Arabidopsis thaliana: one gene and its partner. The protein of the gene in region 1 interacts with the protein of each later gene in a pairwise test. Each region holds a gene or a part of one and is shown in the gene's direction. Other genes may lie near its edges.

Region 1 (9,370 bases):
TGTTTTGTAATAAGAATGGTGACTAGAGGTGGTTTCTTTGGTTACCCGTAGATGCTTTTGTAACTGTCGGGTTTGTGCATTAGTCTACTGTTGTCATCGTATTTTTGCATTAGTTTGTGGAGAAGTTATAGACACCTTATCTAGAAGCTTTGAGTACTGACCTCTGTTAGGGTTTGCTCGTGGCAAATAGGATGAAATCCCAGCTTCTTGGTAACTTGAAGTTGTGGAAATCACGCAAATTTCTGAATTTGATATTTTAGAATCGATGTTTCTTCTCTCGTTTCTGTTTTAGATTTCCGTTTTTGCTAATTCTATAGTTTTTTTTTTTCTGCTACTTGTTTATCTTATAGTTCTGTCAAAATTTAATGATATAAATGTTTCACATTTTACCAAAAAAACATTAATACGGAATGAAAGATGTGCGAGTCCTCTTTTTAAGCCCACTAGAATATAATGGGCTATTTACTAACGAGCTTGTGTTGGTTGACGAACATGAGCAAGCCTCTACATGAGCAAGACAATATCAGTTCAATATATGGGCCAACGACAATTTAGGCATCCCGTATATTAAAGATGAGGATTTAACCCAAATCCTAGTTTTAAAGGTTGGATCGACTTAGTTTCGGACATGTTACTTGGAAGGGCCTGGCATGGTTACAACGACCCATCTACGCTCTTAAAATTTGTTATTGAAAAACACATAACAAAGCGAAAGTACATATAAAAGAATTATTTTGATTTATATAAAAGAATAGATATTACACCATATTGTCTCTATGTTCATCTCATCCCCAACAACAACAAGTGTCCACGTCAAAATGATAATAGTAGTAAATAACAAATATGAACGAGAAGAAGTAATTAAAATAAAACAGTAATAGAAAGCAGAGGATCCAAATCCACCAAACTCAAAAGCTCTCTAAGCCAAAACGACAGCGTATAAAGCTCCGGCAACAGCTGTTCCCACAAGGAAAGCTTTGTTAGCCCATGCGGCACTTGGTGCATCAGCAGCACCGTCTGGTCCTGGAGCTGGAGACGAAGTTGGAGTTAATCCAGCGGAAGGACCGGGAGCAGGAGCATCGGTCTGAGGAGGAGAAGCAACCGGGGATGTTGTTGGAGAAGTGGTAGGAGCTGGAGTTGGCTCGTTAACTGGAACAGGCGGTGAAGCAATTGGTGAAGGTGTTTCTGCTGTCACTGGAGGAAGCGCCGTTGGTGGAGGAGTAACGGTGGTTGGTGCTGGTGCAGGAGCTTGAGCGAGACATGAAGTGGCCAAGAAACCAAGAAAGATCAAAGCTTGCATTGCCTTAGAATTCATTTTTAGATTATCTCTTCTTTGTCTGAATCTTGAAACTCTCTCTGTTTAATGTTATAAACTCTTCTTTATTTTTGTTGATGGTGTAGAACAATGAGAGAAGAGAGCTCTATATATACGCGATGGTTGGGAAATAGTTAATAATTAATTATTGGTGTGACACTAATCATGCGAACCACATACAAAAATACAACATGGCTTAGCTTTTCAATGGCGGTTTAAAATAATTGTTGTCTTTTTTCTTTCTTAAACTTGACGTGTTTGAGTTTTTGAAGTTTTCTTGAAGAATCATCTACATGAAGGAGCACCAAACGGATACACAGATCTCTGCCACGTGTTTTCTCTTAACGATGTTAATTCTGAGATCAGTTAAGTATTGACACGTGTTATGTTTATATTGGTTTTTAGATATGATTTGACTCTGCGTAATTTGCTTTTTGGTTAACCGCGTTACAATGCCAGGCGTAAATTAACTTGAGTTTTGCCTAATGTTTCGTGGAAATAACGCGTTTACGAGTAAATAATTAACATTATACGAAAAATGGGTCATTATTTAAGTTCATATTCATATATAGTATGTCTATCAAAATTTTCAACTGTTAATTATTTTAGATGTATATTATAATCGTTTCTGTTGAAAAAAGTTATTTTATATGTTTCGTTGTAATGTGTTATCTGGACTGATTATACGAGCAAGGGCTGGCAAAAGCTGTCATATTTTCATGTTAATTAAATTAATAAATTAGTAGATCATTATAGTTATATTTATGGTTTTTATTTTGTTGCAATATTCTAGTGACAGATTACTTGGTGGCCATTATTGTTACAAACTTACAACGAAACAGTCAAGCAAACGCGCATTGTTCATATTCTACAGCTATATCATTATTACGGTGTGAAATGCTTCATTTCAATAAGAACCTACCTAACAATTATTTATATTCCTTGAATAATAAATTGTTAGACTCTTGCTTTGACCTTAATATGCATTGTATCAGTATCTTCTTCATAAGAAAATTATAAGTTGAAAACTTTTTTCCTGCCAGCTTTGACCAAATGAATATATTAAAAAGTTACCAATAAAGAAATTTTAATTAATTTGATTAGTAGTACAAGTTTGGACGAGGCCTTGGCAGGCCTCTCTTTCTAGCTTTTCGTGGATGTGGCCTAACCTCGTAACTTTTCGTATTTTATCAAGCCCAAAGTAGCTTTCCGTTATCACTTATATGAAAAAATCTAAGATCTAAGGGGAGTTATTGATTAGTATTTTAATTTATAATCTATATACATTAAAGAAAATAGAACATCTTGAAACCTCTAAATAAATACACCGTGCTTAAAAAACTTCACGAGATATTCAATTGATTTTTTTTTGTTTAGAATATTAAATAATCAATACTCCATTAGATGTCATTTACCCAAAAAAAAAAAAAAAAAACTCCATTAGATGTTATTATTGTAGATTGTACCAATAAACTCTGATATATAAGTCCAACAAAACTCCATTAGCAGTAGTGTTGGTAAGCTCCCCATATTCTTGGGCTTTAGTTTCAGAAGATTTCATGTTATCCGTCGGCTTAGTTTATGGAATTATCTTGTTAATCGCCACTTTTATATAATTTCATATATAATCTATCTTTTAGTGCAAAAAAAGTAAAAAAAATAATTTCAACGAAACTCAAGTTTGGAACCGCAATCCAATTATTTTAATCAAATCATTGACTACCGAAATATTTTTCCACCTTCAAACAATCTAAAAAGAAAAATAATTTTTTTGATCAATTCACCAACGTTATTTAGTTTATAAAACATGATAAAAGATCCTCCAAAAATATAAAACCTAGACTTTCCTTAAATTTTAAGAAGTGTACTTTTGTTCACTCAATTTATTATTTCTCTGCCAAATTCTCTATATTCTTCACACGTAATTACTATCTAGTTCTCGTCCATTTCCTTTATCATTTTCTCATTGTCTTGTAAATTGACCACTCTAATGATCTCTATTATTTCCTCTAGAATAGAGTATGATTTATCTCCAATCTATCACTCTATATATAGAGTAATCCTACAATTTTCTCTATTTTAAAGTAACATATAGAATGAGGATGGAGAGAATGTACTATATCATAGAGTTTTAGAGGACAAAATTAAAGTGGGATTGGAGATGCTAAGTATGTAAATTTGGTTCGGTTAGCTATCATAAGGGACCGAGTGCTATATGACAATGTATTATAGGTAAAAGAAGTGATATTGTCTCCTGTAGATTTAGTGTCCTTAACCGTTCATCAAATCTATGTGAATCTCAGTAGTAGGTAGTTGGGTGAAGAACGTGTGAAGTCTATACAACTCATATTACTCCTCAAACATTTTCTGATAATATATTGCATACATTGAACCTCTTTTTAAATTCAAAACATCAAAGGTATTGATCTTACATAGAAAAAAACATAGACTCTTATGTTCATGTCCCTATTGATCTTAGTCATACCTCATAATTGTCTAACAAAGAAAATCAAAGGTATCATAATTATCATCATATGTAATGTAGGGAACAAATCTGTATTTACTGGTATATATATATAACACAAAAAAAATTACCAAAGAAAAAAAAAGAGCAAAGGGAACGATACCATTAGTCCCAATACCAATCCTTGCAAAATTCAAACTCAAACAAACCGTTTATCTCACGCGCCGCCGTACTCGCCACGATCCGTCTTTGGAGACCAATTTATGGAGCCGCCGAAGGGAGATACCGTAGTGAAGACTGAGGTCCCGGTGAAGGATCCATCGCTAAGCGTCGTCGATTCGAAAACGAAGGGAGTCGAGGATGCGAACACTGAGATAGCCTTGTCCGATGAGGTTGAAATCGAGACGAAGGGAAGCGATTCGACACCGGTGAAAGCTCCGAGTCGAACATCGTCTGGATCGAAGAAATCTGTACATTGGAGCCCCGAATTGGTGTCTGGATCTCAGGAACCGGATCAGAAAGCTGCATCGTCTTCTTCGGCTGGATCTAATCCGTATATTGCTCGTTCTCCAGCTGAGACTTCAGATGCTTCGTTGAAAGGTAAGAGTGTTGTGATCGTAGCGGTGAGAATTGAGATTGTGTATTGTAGCCTTATTTACCTTTTTGTGGATCTCTCTCTGTGTCTGTGAATTGGATTCAGATACGATGGAGACTGTGAAAGGAGTGCTTGGTAGATGGGGAAAGAGGGTTGCAGAAGCAGCAAAGAAGACGGAGAGCCTTGCCGGGAACACATGGCAACACCGTAAGTTTTCGTTTTTTTTTAATATCAATTTGTAATCAAATTCAATGCTTAGAGTTCTGTGGAATCAAGAATTGTTCATAGGGTATTGTTAAAAGTAGCTTGTTCTACTCAAAGTCTACATTTTTTTAGAGAAACATAAAAGATTTTTTTTGCTGTATTATGGTTTTCTTCCTTTGTTGTATGTTGGTGTTTAGGTTAGTACTGGTTTTAGGATTGAGTAACTATCATCATATTCGATAGTGCTCAAGTGTATTTTTATGATCTTCAATTCTTTGATCTCTTTTCAACATGTTGTTGCTATAAAATGGGACGTTCTTACTGGCTTGTGTTGATAAATTTTCTTAATTACAAACAGAACACTCCCCTGAATTTCAGTCTTTAGGCAGTACATTAAAAGACAATGACCTTTGATCTTGTTGAGTTCTTGCTAAGAATAGTAAACGGACTATTTTAGTTATGGAATCATATTGTGTTGGAAGAAATATCTCGGTTTTTCTCAGGTTTATCTTCATAAATAGTTTAGAATCACAATTGTTCTACGTGGATCTCTTGCCTTCGATTTGTCTCCAGAACCAAGATTAATACCACATCTGCTCGGTATTAGAGGATGATCTTTTGATATTGTCAAGTTTGTGATCACAGTAATTAAAAAATCTCTGTCTTGGATTTGAACAAGAAGATTCTCCCAGTTTCAGTCTGTCAAACTTTGTAGCTTGACCCATGACAAGTGTTTATAAGAGAGTCGGAATAACCTTAAAGCTGTTTTTTCTCTGTGTGATGTTTGCAGTCAAGTTTTTAGTAGATTGTCTGGTAACAAATAAAATATCAGATTGAAATTAGGTGCTCTGGATTAGGTATTAGTTGCCATGTTACTTCTTTGGAACTTGGAATTTTAATGCCTTTGGTGAACATTAATCAAAAACGCCATTTGACGAATTAAGAGCTGGATATTAGTTTGACCTTCGGACATGGTCATTCGTGATGTAGTCTAAGTAGTAGGGAATTAGCTCCTAGTTTTGAGATCAAAAAGCCTTTTTGCGGACTGAAGAATTACCACTCTAATCAAGTGATGTTCTTGGTGGTTTGGTGAATGTTTGAGCAATGGAGGTGGAGGGAAAATGTCTGATGACTAGCTAAAACTATAGAAATTGGGGAATTAAGAAAGTTTACACGATTAAATTTATGTTTAGAGTGTTCATGTGTGAACTCTATAACTCATGTCTTCCTTGATTGGGTGTGTTTTAGTTGTCCGCTTCTCTAGCATATTCTATTCAGGATTCGTTTGAGTGATCTCTCTTACAATCTTCTACTTTAGTCAGTGAGAACTGCTCCAGTTTTTTTGTATTTCATATCATGTTTGAATCGATCTTCTATGTTTAGCATTGTTGGAATGGATGTTTGCGCTCAAATATAGTAGATCTTTTGTTAAAGAAGTGAAATATTGAATAGATGCTCCGGAACAGATAGAGTTGCTATATTGCTTTTAGGAACTTGGATTAGATAATACATTTGGATGAACATTAAAAAAAAAAGAAGAAACAGCCTTTGGTGAGTTAGGAGCTAGAACTGTGGATATGAGTTTCAGCTTGGGACATGGTCGTGTTATGGATAGAGATGAGTTCCTGGGTAAGTGTTTGAGTAATGGAGTTTGAGGGAAAATGTCTAATGCCTGCATTTACATAGTATGGACGTAAAGTTTGAATTTGGGTGACTGAGAAAAATAACATGATTCAATATACGTTTCAATTGTTTGTGTGTGAACTCGCAATTCATCTCTTCCTTGATTGGATGTGCTTTACTTGTTTGATTCGCTAGCATTTTCATTCAAGATCTATCTGATTGATATATCTTATAATCTTCTCTTTTTAATCAGTGAGAACTGCTCCGAGTTTTGCGGATGCTGCAATGGGAAGAATTGCACAGAGTACAAAGGTCTTTGCAGAAGGAGGATATGAGAAGATATTCCGACAAACCTTTGAGACAGATCCCGAAGAACAGTTGCTAAATTCTTTTGCATGTTACTTGTCAACATCAGCTGGCCCAGTTATGGGAGTTCTATATATATCCAGTGCCAAACTTGCTTACTGTAGTGACAACCCTCTCTCCTATAAAAACGGTGATCAAACCGAATGGAGCTATTACAAGGTAATGTGTCCTACACCTTTCATTTCAGAATTATAGCCATTTTGAAGACACCATATTATTACTTTTGTGATCATTAACTGTTCGAAATCTGTTGGCTGGTTATCTGGTCAATGCTTGAGACAATGTTTCGTTATAATTTGTTAGTAGCATCAACTAAGGAGCCTTCGTAGAGTGATTCATTTGGATAGAAAAATAATCTGGACTTGTTAACGGAATCATAAATCCATGGACTTTTTTTTTGTGATAGTAATAACATGATTGCATCAGCTTCTCATCTCTTGTTTCATCGAAACCAATCCGATACGATTGCATTTGCTTATTCATTGTAATAAGCTTTGCTACATTGATGATTGATGAACACTTTGTGTCTTCTTCTTAAATAGGTAGTAATTCCATTACATCAACTTAAAGCAGTGAATCCATCAGCGAGCATAGTCAATCCTGCAGAGAAGTACATACAGGTGATTTCGGTAGACAATCATGAGTTTTGGTTCATGGGTTTTTTAAACTACGACGGCGCTGTCACGTCTCTGCAAGATTCTTTGCAAGCCGGTGCTTTAAGGTCGGTGTGATACATAACTGGATGACTGATGACCATAAAAGCATGTTGATCTCCACCTCTTCTTGCTTAGTCATATCAGAAGACTCAAATTTTTACATTATTTTGCATTTAATCTCAATATCCTATTTACTACAGAAACTAGCTGAATTTTACAAATTTACTTTAAAATGTTTTATCTTTTGATATTTTTATGAGAAGACAGCTTAATTGCAATTTATTCAATAGCAGTTGCTTTTAGTTTCTATGTTGAAGAACTCTGAGGTAGTAGGATCAACAAATGTGAATTCAACACGTCCCAGGGACAACGGACTATTAGAACCGATTCAAATTGCTTCCACCAGTGACAACTGAAAAATATACCGAACCAGTAGATCTAAGAAACGAAATTTACTCGCACCCATGTACGAAATTGCCGCACAACTTTTGATATTTACTAATTTGCCCCAATAAAGTTCAAAATACACAACTCCTTTGACTTCTGCAAAGCATCAGCTCGAAAAGTATTTTTTTTTTTGTGTTAAAGGGTTTATCAGCTCGAAAAGTATTTCATTATCTTTTCATCGAATCAGATTCAACTTACGAATTATAAGAGCATCTGATTAGGATTTATTCCAAAGATCACTAACTAAATTCGAAATTTATTCACAGAAGTTCTAGTCACTAATTTTGTTGAAGACGATTTTTACATATTTAGAGGCGTGATAAATATTACAGACAAAAAATGAAGTTAGATTTTGTTTCGTACTTCTTCGTTAATCTAAAGAGCCAAAGTACTGTGATCTAACACTGTCGTTGTGTTTTTTTTGTTTTGTAAATTTGGCAAAAACTCCCTCCAAAAAAAAACTTAGTTGACTGAGAAAACTAAGCAAAAAGATCTCCGATCGGAATCTTCTTATTCGCCATGGATGCTCTTTCTCAGGCGATCAGTTCCGGGATCTCCGTTCCTTACAAGAACAATTCTTCTTCTCTCGTTCCTTCTCACGGACTCACCTCCTTAATCCTCCGGAAATCGAGATCTCCGGTGAATCCCTCATCACGATCTCGCGTCTCGGTGCGAGCTTCGGAGATTCAACACAGCAAAACCTCAGCTTCATCGATCGATCTCAGCGATCCAGATTGGAAATTAAAGTATGAGAAAGATTTCGAGCAACGATTCAGCATACCTCACATCACTGATGTCTTACCTGATGCTGAAGCCATTCGTTCAACGTTTTGTCTTAAGATGAGGTCAGATCACTACTTTAGCTTGAGGTACCAGATTCTGGGTTTTGGAAAATCTATTAAATTGGAGTTTTGATAATTTAGGTCTCCGACGGAAGATTTTGTTGGTGGTTACCCTTCTGATGAAGAATGGCATGGATACATTAATAACAATGATAGAGTTCTTCTCAAGGTTTAACTTCAGATTTTTATTTTTATTTTACTGAACTTTGTAAGATTGATTTGGCTTGTTTTGGAAATTAGGTTATTAGTTACTCCTCACCTACTTCTGCTGGAGCTGAGTGCCTTGATCATGACTGTTCTTGGGTTGAACAATGGTAAACATTTGGACTTTCTTTGAGTTTGGATTTGTGGTTCTTTTTTGGTTTTTGGTTATAATTGGTGTGATGGGATCTTTAGGATTCACCGTGCTGGTCCGAGGGAGAAGATATACTTCAGGCCGGAAGAAGTGAAAGCTGCGATTATCACTTGTGGTGGCCTTTGCCCTGGTCTCAATGATGTCATCAGACATGTGAGTTTGTATCTGAAACTTTGGCATTATAGAAACAGTGTGTGTGTGTGTGTGAAGTCCTACTAAAGACCTTTGATTGTTGTGTTGTATGGATACATTGCAGATTGTCATTACTCTTGAGATTTATGGTGTTAAGAACATTGTGGGGATTCCTTTCGGTTATCGAGGCTTCTCTGATAAAGATCTAACTGAAATGCCGGTATTGTTCGATTGTGCTCTTTCGAGAAAAAGGAACCCGAATCTCTGTTTCTGTTTTGGCTTATGGTTTGCTTTTTTGTGCTTTCAGTTATCAAGGAAAGTGGTTCAGAATATTCATTTATCTGGAGGAAGTTTGCTTGGAGTTTCACGTG
Region 2 (7,868 bases), on another chromosome or scaffold:
ACCATTTCTAGAAAAAGAAAACGCATTTTTTGCTTTTGATTGAACAAAATTTCGCTGAAGAAGCAGAAACAATGCAGTTTTGGATTTGTGTTGTTACAAATGGATGTATGATTCAAACAATTCTTCTTTAGTTCAGTGATGACAAAGAAAAACACAGTTACATCATAATACCTTTCCATTAACCCATTGTCGTTTGTCACAATGAACAGAAGAAAAGCGGTTCTATATGTAAAAAGAATCAGATCCTATTGCATTTAACGATCAATAATAAGTAAACATAGAGAGAACTTAAGTTGCTAGTGAGAAGAAACCTGAAGAAATACATAGAAAACAAAGATACAAGAGTAAAAAACAAAATCTTTTAGAATTCTCTATGCAGTTGACACTGCGTTGTTACTGTTGTTGTTGCTGCTGCTGCTGCTTTCATCATTTTGTTCGTTCTCACCGGACATTTCCTCGAGAGACTTGCCTTTAGATTCAGGAACCAACAGTGTAAAAACCATCCCCAAAAGATTAACCACACCCAAAACAATGAGGGAGTTCTTGACTCCAATACCTGGAGGATATCCATGCTCTGTCTTGGTCTTGTCAGGACTTTGTGCTAAGTACAAGAACCCAAACGCACCAACCATTGCTCCTAATTTTCCAGAAGCCGCGGAAATTCCATGGCAGGTTGATCTAAACCTAGCCGGGAAGATCTCAGCGGGCACAACGAAAGTTGTTGCATTAGGTCCAAAGTTGGCGAAGAAGAATGTTAGAGAGTACATAGCAACGAATCCGATTCTGTTCTCCTTGTGAGTCCAATGGTCGTAAGGAATGGCGAGAGCGAACATAAAGACGGTCATAAAGAAGAAACCCATCATCTGTATCGCAAATCTACCAATGACGTCAATAAAGGCCACTGTGAACCAGTAACCAGGTACCGTGCTACACAAGGCGATTAGGGTTTGTGCACGTGCAATCTTGAAAACCTCTTGAATTGCGTTCATTGTCTGAGCCGGAGGGATCCATCCGATTGCGCTGAAAATATCTTTCTGGAATAGGTTCTGACTGTAGAAGGCGATGTCGAGTAGGAACCATGTGCTTGTAGTTCCTAGCAAATGAAGGCCATGGCGTTTCATGAATTCCTTGGAAAACAAGCCAAAGGAATTGGACTTATCTTCAGTTCCCTGCTGCTCTGCTTCGATCTCCACTTGCAAAACCTTAGACATGTTTGAAGCCGCTAGTTTCGCGTCCTTGGCCACAAGAGCCGTGTACCGGGCAGTCTCAGGCATCTTGGACCTTGAGTAATACGTCATCGCTGCAGGCAAAGCACCCACCATCAGTATGATCCGCCACACATAATCCGCCTGAGGAACCGTGGATGCCAAGGCATCTATTTGATAGGTTGGAGCTGGAAATTTAGCCTCGAAAGCGGCAGACACGATGATGGCAAAAATCCCCCCGGTCAAGATTCCAAACCCTTGCATAGCAAAAACGGCGGCTATAAACGCACCACGGGTCTTTTTATTAGCGTATTCAGACATAATCGTGGCGGATAACGGATAATCACCACCAATGCCGAAACCAAGCCAGAACCGGAAGAAACATAGTGTAGTCATCACTGTTTTTGGGTTACTCCCAAAGGATAGACCCGAAGCGATGGAACAAAGAACCATGACCATGAGGGTCATACCGTAAACTTTTTTCCTCCCAAGCTTGTCACCGAGCCAGCCAAAGAAGAGCTGGCCTGCGAGTGTACCGCAGAAGGCGACTCCATTAACAGCGGCTGAGACGTTTGGTGGCAGCGTTCCTGGCTTCTCTGAGCCGTCCACGTGATAGTAAATACGGCCAAGAAGCTTTGTGACGAGTGAGATACAAAAAAGGTCGTAAGCGTCGGTGAAGAATCCCATTCCGGCGATTATAATCGCCGTGAAATGGTACCATTGCGTTTTGGCGACGTCGAGTGCGTTTAGCACGTTTAGTTGATCTCCTGCCATTGCTCTCTTTCTCTTTTCCTCTGCGTTAATATTAAGTAACACATATTAAGTAATCAGTATCAAATTCATATACATAAGCTGGTTTCAGACACGTTTTATATGCAGAAAATAAACTATAGTAAAATTTTAATCTATAATCATCAAAAAGGTTTAAAAACTCGTCAAATTCATCAATTTTTATATCTTTTTGGCGTAAGTATTTGTAAAGGTTGACTTGACGCGTGGGAAATGAAAAACGGGACACGAAGTAAGATGGTGACGCACACCGACAAAAGATTTGATCATATTCCATAATGTACAGTTCAATGACAGTCAAAACTTTCCTTTAAATCACAAAATATTTCAGACCACTTATCTTGTTTTTGTTCCAAGAATGTGCCAAAATAAACTGATCCAAGAAAGAAAGTTGTAAACGAATTAAGTTTCAATCTCAGAACTTCAACAACAAAAAAGCTGTATAATCATAGTTTACTGAACAATTTTGTAAAAGACGATTTGAGTTTTAGCTTCCACATACATATTGTCGTCTATCAAAACATTGATCAGGTATCATAGAAAATGTTTCTTAGGAAACTACTCTATTTAATAGACATAACACAAACACATGCTACACAACAGACACAAAAGCTATATAATTTATAAACAACACTAACCAGACGCTTGCATAACCTCATTTCTCATTCAACAACAAGTCATAATAAAAGTTAATAAAAGATTCAATAGCACATAGTTATGAAGAAGACATTAACTTACAGAAAGTTTTTTTTGTTTTTTTGCTTACTTTCTCGCAAACAATCTCTAATATGGGATTGTCTTAAAGAAAGAAAAAAGAAGAAGAAGAGAAGAGTATTAGTTTGTTTGTTTGTTGTTTCTTCAGAAACTGTAAGAGAGAAAGAAAGAAGAAATGGTGTTGTGAAAATGAAAAAGAGGCAGCGTCGGGAACGGCTACTTATACGTAATCATATTTCTGTTTTTGTTTTGACATATTCTTGTGGTATATTCTTCTGACAACGACGTCGCTTTTATTTCTTCTATTTGACTACTTCTCCTCCACCTTATTTTTACTTCTTTTAGGAGACACTATTGGTTCTGTTTTGCTGTTAATTTTTTTTCTGTTTTGGAAATTGTTTTACTGTCTATTCGAATTCTTAAGACTTACGGTTACAAGAAGTCGTTTTTAAGTAATAATTTCGAATATTCTTTGGGGAAAAAATAAGATTCAGACTTCAGACACATGATGAGCTGTTATTTTTATTTTTTTGGTAATAAGTGCAGAATTTGCAAGATATTATTTTGCCATAAAGAGTAGAAAATTGGAAATTGATTCGTTTTAACCCCAGTCTTCTGTGTTTTCTTACATACATTATTTTGTATAACCGTTTTTTAAAAACGTTGAATTTCCCAGAAGTATTTGTAAATATAGTAAAATTCATATTATAAACTAAAGAAGAAAATGATGACAAAATAATAAATAAATTCAGTGAAATTTAAAATAAAAATGTAAAAAAACTTTAACACTTTAAAAATTCAGTGTTATTTGACACAAAATCTTCTATCAATAGGAATACAAATTGTTTTTTTTTCTTTGATCGTTCATAAAACGACGTAGTACCAATTTATGGTTAAGAAAAATAGCGGGAACCAACGTTTAGAATCGGTTTGAGTGACGTGGCAAATATGGGCCCACAGCTATAGATTGCCTTCTTCTTCTTCCACCTCTTGACCCTTCCTTTAATGAGAGCTCAAAACCCTAATTTCTATTAGCCGTTACGCTCTCTAACTTCACATCACTTCCCTAATCTCTCTTTTCAGCAATGAGCTCGTCGTCTAAAATTGATTCAGAGAAGCCAGTTATGGTTTCCGAGTCACTATTTTCTACCAAGACTCCTATCAAAACCGTTAAAAGGCAGATCTTTTCTTCGTCCCCAAAACCTGAATCTGTTATAAAATTGCCCGAAAGGTGAGATTGATTGATTGATTTGTTCATACACTTTTCTCAAATTTGGACTATTCTTTCAATTTTGTTGATTTTTTTATTGGCATTACAGGTTCGAGATTTTGGAGGAATTTTTCAATGGTTTGGATACTGCAATTAGGCTGCTTAAATTAAAGGGTTCGTCAACGACATACGCTAATATATGTCCCAAGATCGAGTATCTTACTAATCGGTAAAGTCATTGACTTTCACGCTTCTTGTTTAAACGGATTCTGTTGAATCTTGAGAGTTTAAAGGATTAAACTTTTTGATGCATATGATCAATCGTGTGTGTGTGTGTGTTGTTTGATTGTATTTGCTTAATGTTGTTTGGGTCTACAGGATCTTCTCGTATGATCATTTGGCTCAGATGAAGCATATTTATCCGGAAGCTATTGAACTAAAGAGAGTTTTGAAGTTTGTTGAAGACACTTGTTGTATGAAACCTAGGCTTCATATTAAATTAAATACCGATGCAATTGTAGTTGAGGATACCATTTGTGGAACTAAATACATGGAACTTAGAAAGGTGTTTCACTCAAAGCTTGTAGATTTTCGCAAAGCTCATCCTAAGGTACATTATTAGGCTTATCTAATCTATTAATTAGTTGTAGCTTTTTGAATAATGCTTTTATATCTGATGGATTCTCCATCTATTGTTTTCTGTATGCAGGACGAAATTCCGAAAGAACTGCTTCCTGAACCATTCAATTCTCCTCAAAGGGATAGTTATTCAGGTATAGTAAGCGTAGGCTTAGGAGAACCTAAACTTGAAGTTGGAGGGTTTGATGTTCATATGGAGGAGATAGAGCAAGAAGAACAAGATGTTAACAAAGTCATTCCTGATTCTACTTTGTCACACATAGAATCAAGAATAGTTGAAACCCCAGTCAAAGATTTATCCACTCCCTCCAAAGACTTGTCCACGCCAATCCGGCTCATGAGTGCTACACCGACGTTGCAGCTATCTAAAAGATGTATTGAGTTGACTCCAGAGGGTGGTGATGATAACTCTCTTAGATCAACAAATAGTCTAGCAAGGGGTCCATCTCGCAGTCTGAATTTTGATACTTTTGAGGAAGATGCAATTGAGAAAGATGATATTGGTAACGAATCTGATGATAAAGGAATCAACTATGAAGAAGATGGCCTTCTCCAGTCAGTAAAAGGTCCATCTCGCAGTTTGAATTTTGACACTCTTGAGGAAGAAACAATTGTGAAAGATGACATTAGTAACGAATCTGGTGATGAAAAAAGCAACTATGAAGGTGATAATGCTTCTGATGATGATAGCCTCCTTCAGTCAGTAAGTGATGCTTTTTCCTGCAACAATTTTGCTTTCACATTGTTTCCGGATATATTCGTTTTCAGTTGCAAACAGACATCCTTACTTACCATTGTGTGTGTGTTTGTGTCTTGCAGATGATAGAGAGACCAAAGACTGAACCCGAGAAGCACAATTTGCCACAGCTTGTTAATTTGATTCATAGAGTGTTTCACTCAACAAATCGGACAGTCATCACGAAGGAGGAGCTTCTTTACAAGATTATTGCAAACCAAATCAATATAACTGATAGAAGTAGGGACAGTTAATATTGAATGTTTGATAATTTCCCTGCCTTTTCTTCCTTGACAGGCTCACAGTTTCTTTCTTACTTGCATTGCCAGGGGAAGTGGAAGAACAATTAAGTCTGATGTTGCAATTGGTCCCGGATTGGATATCTGAAACAAAAGCATCTTCTGGGGATCTTCTTGTTCGGTGAGTATGTTCCACCAAAAATGATTATGATTTTCTTTATTTGGCTCTAAGTTTCACAAATGAAACAAAAAAATACATTTTGTATTGAAAATATCTAATTTGCTTCTTGAGGCTCTAATACTGGTATATCTTTTGCTTTTTGCAGCATCAATAAAATGTCGACTGCCGAAACAGTACGTGCAAGACTTGAAGAAGCAACTTCACATGACATTTCACTTATCTACTGAAAAACCATAAAACTGAAACTTTTTTTTGTGTTTTCATCCTCTTCACCAATTCAGTTATCATTATTCTTCACAAATATCTTCTTTCTAAGCTGGTCCAACCTATAAACTTGTAACATTCGTTTTACATAATTCGAGAATAATCAGGAGACAAAACACCATTTGATGATTATTAATTCTACTACATGCAGAAGAACTGTATTTGTTGTTAACTGTGGTCTGTGGATACCAATTTAAGAAGCTCTTGCTACAGAGAAAAATGTGTAAGACTCAGATTGAGAATAAGGTTTGGCAAAGGAACAAGATTCGCTAGGTCTTCGTCGAATCGACAAATTTTGAAAAGAGTAGTACTAAAGCAAAAGAACAAAACCAAAGGGAAACACAGTCATCACTCTCCAATCATATGACATCTTAGAAGATAGATTGAGAAGTGTTTGAATGTAAAGGTAAATGAACCATACACTTTTGAAAGAAAAGATTCTAGCTCATCTTAAAATAATTAGATTGTTAAAAGGATTAAACATTTGAAACCGAAAAGCATACTCTAAAAATAAAGATAGTGATTGTTCTTTCTTTCTATATTACTCGAAGAAAGTATTTGTCCTTTGCAATGATGTTTAAGATGTTGATATCATACCCAAGGTTACAGTATAAATTAGTTTTATTAACCCAAAAAAAGAATTAAAAAAAAATGTTAGTCTTGAATATGATTAGATTATAGTGTTTGTTTCATAAATGGTTATGAAAATTAGTTCATAAGACGTTATTCTTCTACAATCTATAGTCACAATATATACACAAAAGAGAACTCTTTCAGATTTTCTCATGTGAAACCTCCTTTAAGAGCTTTGCTTGCTCTCTGAATCGCTCTTGCGACTCTCCATATCTCGTGCTCAATTATTCCCTCTGATGCGTTCATCGCAATGGCATCTGCTATTCCCGGGAAGAATCCTAGCTTGCTCTCTGGCTCAGCCGCCGGTCCATACACCTATGCATAAAACACAAACAAGGTCTCATGAGGTTTGCAAAATTGGTGAAAATCTGACTGAATAAAAAAGTTTTACTCACAAGATGCTTGAACCATTCCTTCCCTTTGATCCCTTCTGCATCCAAAAACCCTCTTTCTACAAGCATCAACCTGTCATTTAGCTCTCTTCTCTTCGCCGCTGCTGCTACATCATTTTTGCTATATGATTTTCCCTTTAACTTCTGCAAATCAATCACCAAAACATGTATAGGTGAGACAAAGAAGCAAAAGATTGAGGTTATACGTTAATTAGCAAAACCATTAGAAACCTTTGCTTCATCTGCGGCTTCTTTGGCAACCAAAGAGAACTCTTGTATCGCCATGCTTAAGGGATTTACAGAGACTTTCCCTTCTAAGAGCTTGCTCAGTTTATCTCTATGTGCCTGAATCATTACACAAAACATAAACTCAGTTTTCCTACTATTCTACGTATAAAAGGTGTGAGTAAAAGAAATCTACCTGCAATTGGTCTGCATAAGAGATGTAATCGAATGGTATGAGTGGCTCATCAGCCAAGAGAATTCCTAAAAGTCCCCAAATTCCAGCCACTGATAAATATAGAAAGCAAAGAAGAGAGAGTGAATTCTCTTCATAACATCCATGAAAAACAGAACAAATAACTAAAAGATAATAATAGATCAAAAGAGAGAAGTGAAATCTTTACTAGCAACATGACGGTGAAACAATGGATCTGCGTTGTGGATCATCCAATCATAGGAGTCAAATGCAGTGTGATAGACAGGATAATCTGAAAGAAAGGATAAACAACATACATTATTGGTATTACTTGCATTAAAACATCACATTATAGAATATTTTGCAAGACTTAAGGAATCATGTTCTCATTGACCTGCTCCATAGTACATGTCTATAGACGGTATCCCGGCATGATGAAGAAAACCGG

Evidence for each region. The genes of interacting proteins can lie anywhere in the genome.
Region 2: the proteins of GEM (region 1) and CDT1B interact in a two-hybrid assay, tested with the Arabidopsis thaliana proteins (one study listed by BioGRID).

The regions. Positions count from the first base shown.
Region 1 is NC_003071.7:9,537,481-9,546,850, forward strand, and holds GEM (GRAM domain family protein), read left to right. Parts: upstream 1-3,647; 5' UTR 3,648-4,042; coding exon 4,043-4,379; intron 4,380-4,479; coding exon 4,480-4,581; intron 4,582-6,454; coding exon 6,455-6,726; coding exon of another isoform or gene 6,727-6,762; exon of another isoform or gene 6,763-7,109; coding exon 7,110-7,298; 3' UTR 7,299-7,558; downstream 7,559-9,370. Other genes in the region: AGP2 (arabinogalactan protein 2), read right to left, coding at 920-1,315; PFK5 (phosphofructokinase 5), read left to right, coding at 8,190-8,515, 8,594-8,681, 8,753-8,826, 8,909-9,020, 9,124-9,219, 9,307-9,370.
Region 2 is NC_003074.8:20,248,092-20,255,959, forward strand, and holds CDT1B (CDT1-like protein B), read left to right. Parts: upstream 1-3,720; 5' UTR 3,721-3,793; coding exon 3,794-3,939; intron 3,940-4,027; coding exon 4,028-4,147; intron 4,148-4,296; coding exon 4,297-4,528; intron 4,529-4,627; coding exon 4,628-5,260; intron 5,261-5,376; coding exon 5,377-5,533; intron 5,534-5,622; coding exon 5,623-5,713; intron 5,714-5,858; coding exon 5,859-5,940; 3' UTR 5,941-6,232; downstream 6,233-7,868. Other genes in the region: PHT1;7 (phosphate transporter 1;7), read right to left, coding at 372-1,979; AMP1 (Peptidase M28 family protein), read right to left, coding at 6,761-6,925, 7,006-7,146, 7,234-7,347, 7,424-7,512, 7,629-7,712, 7,815-7,868. UniProt on the Arabidopsis thaliana protein: Member of the pre-replication complex. Regulates endoreduplication. Involved in the coordination of cell and plastid division.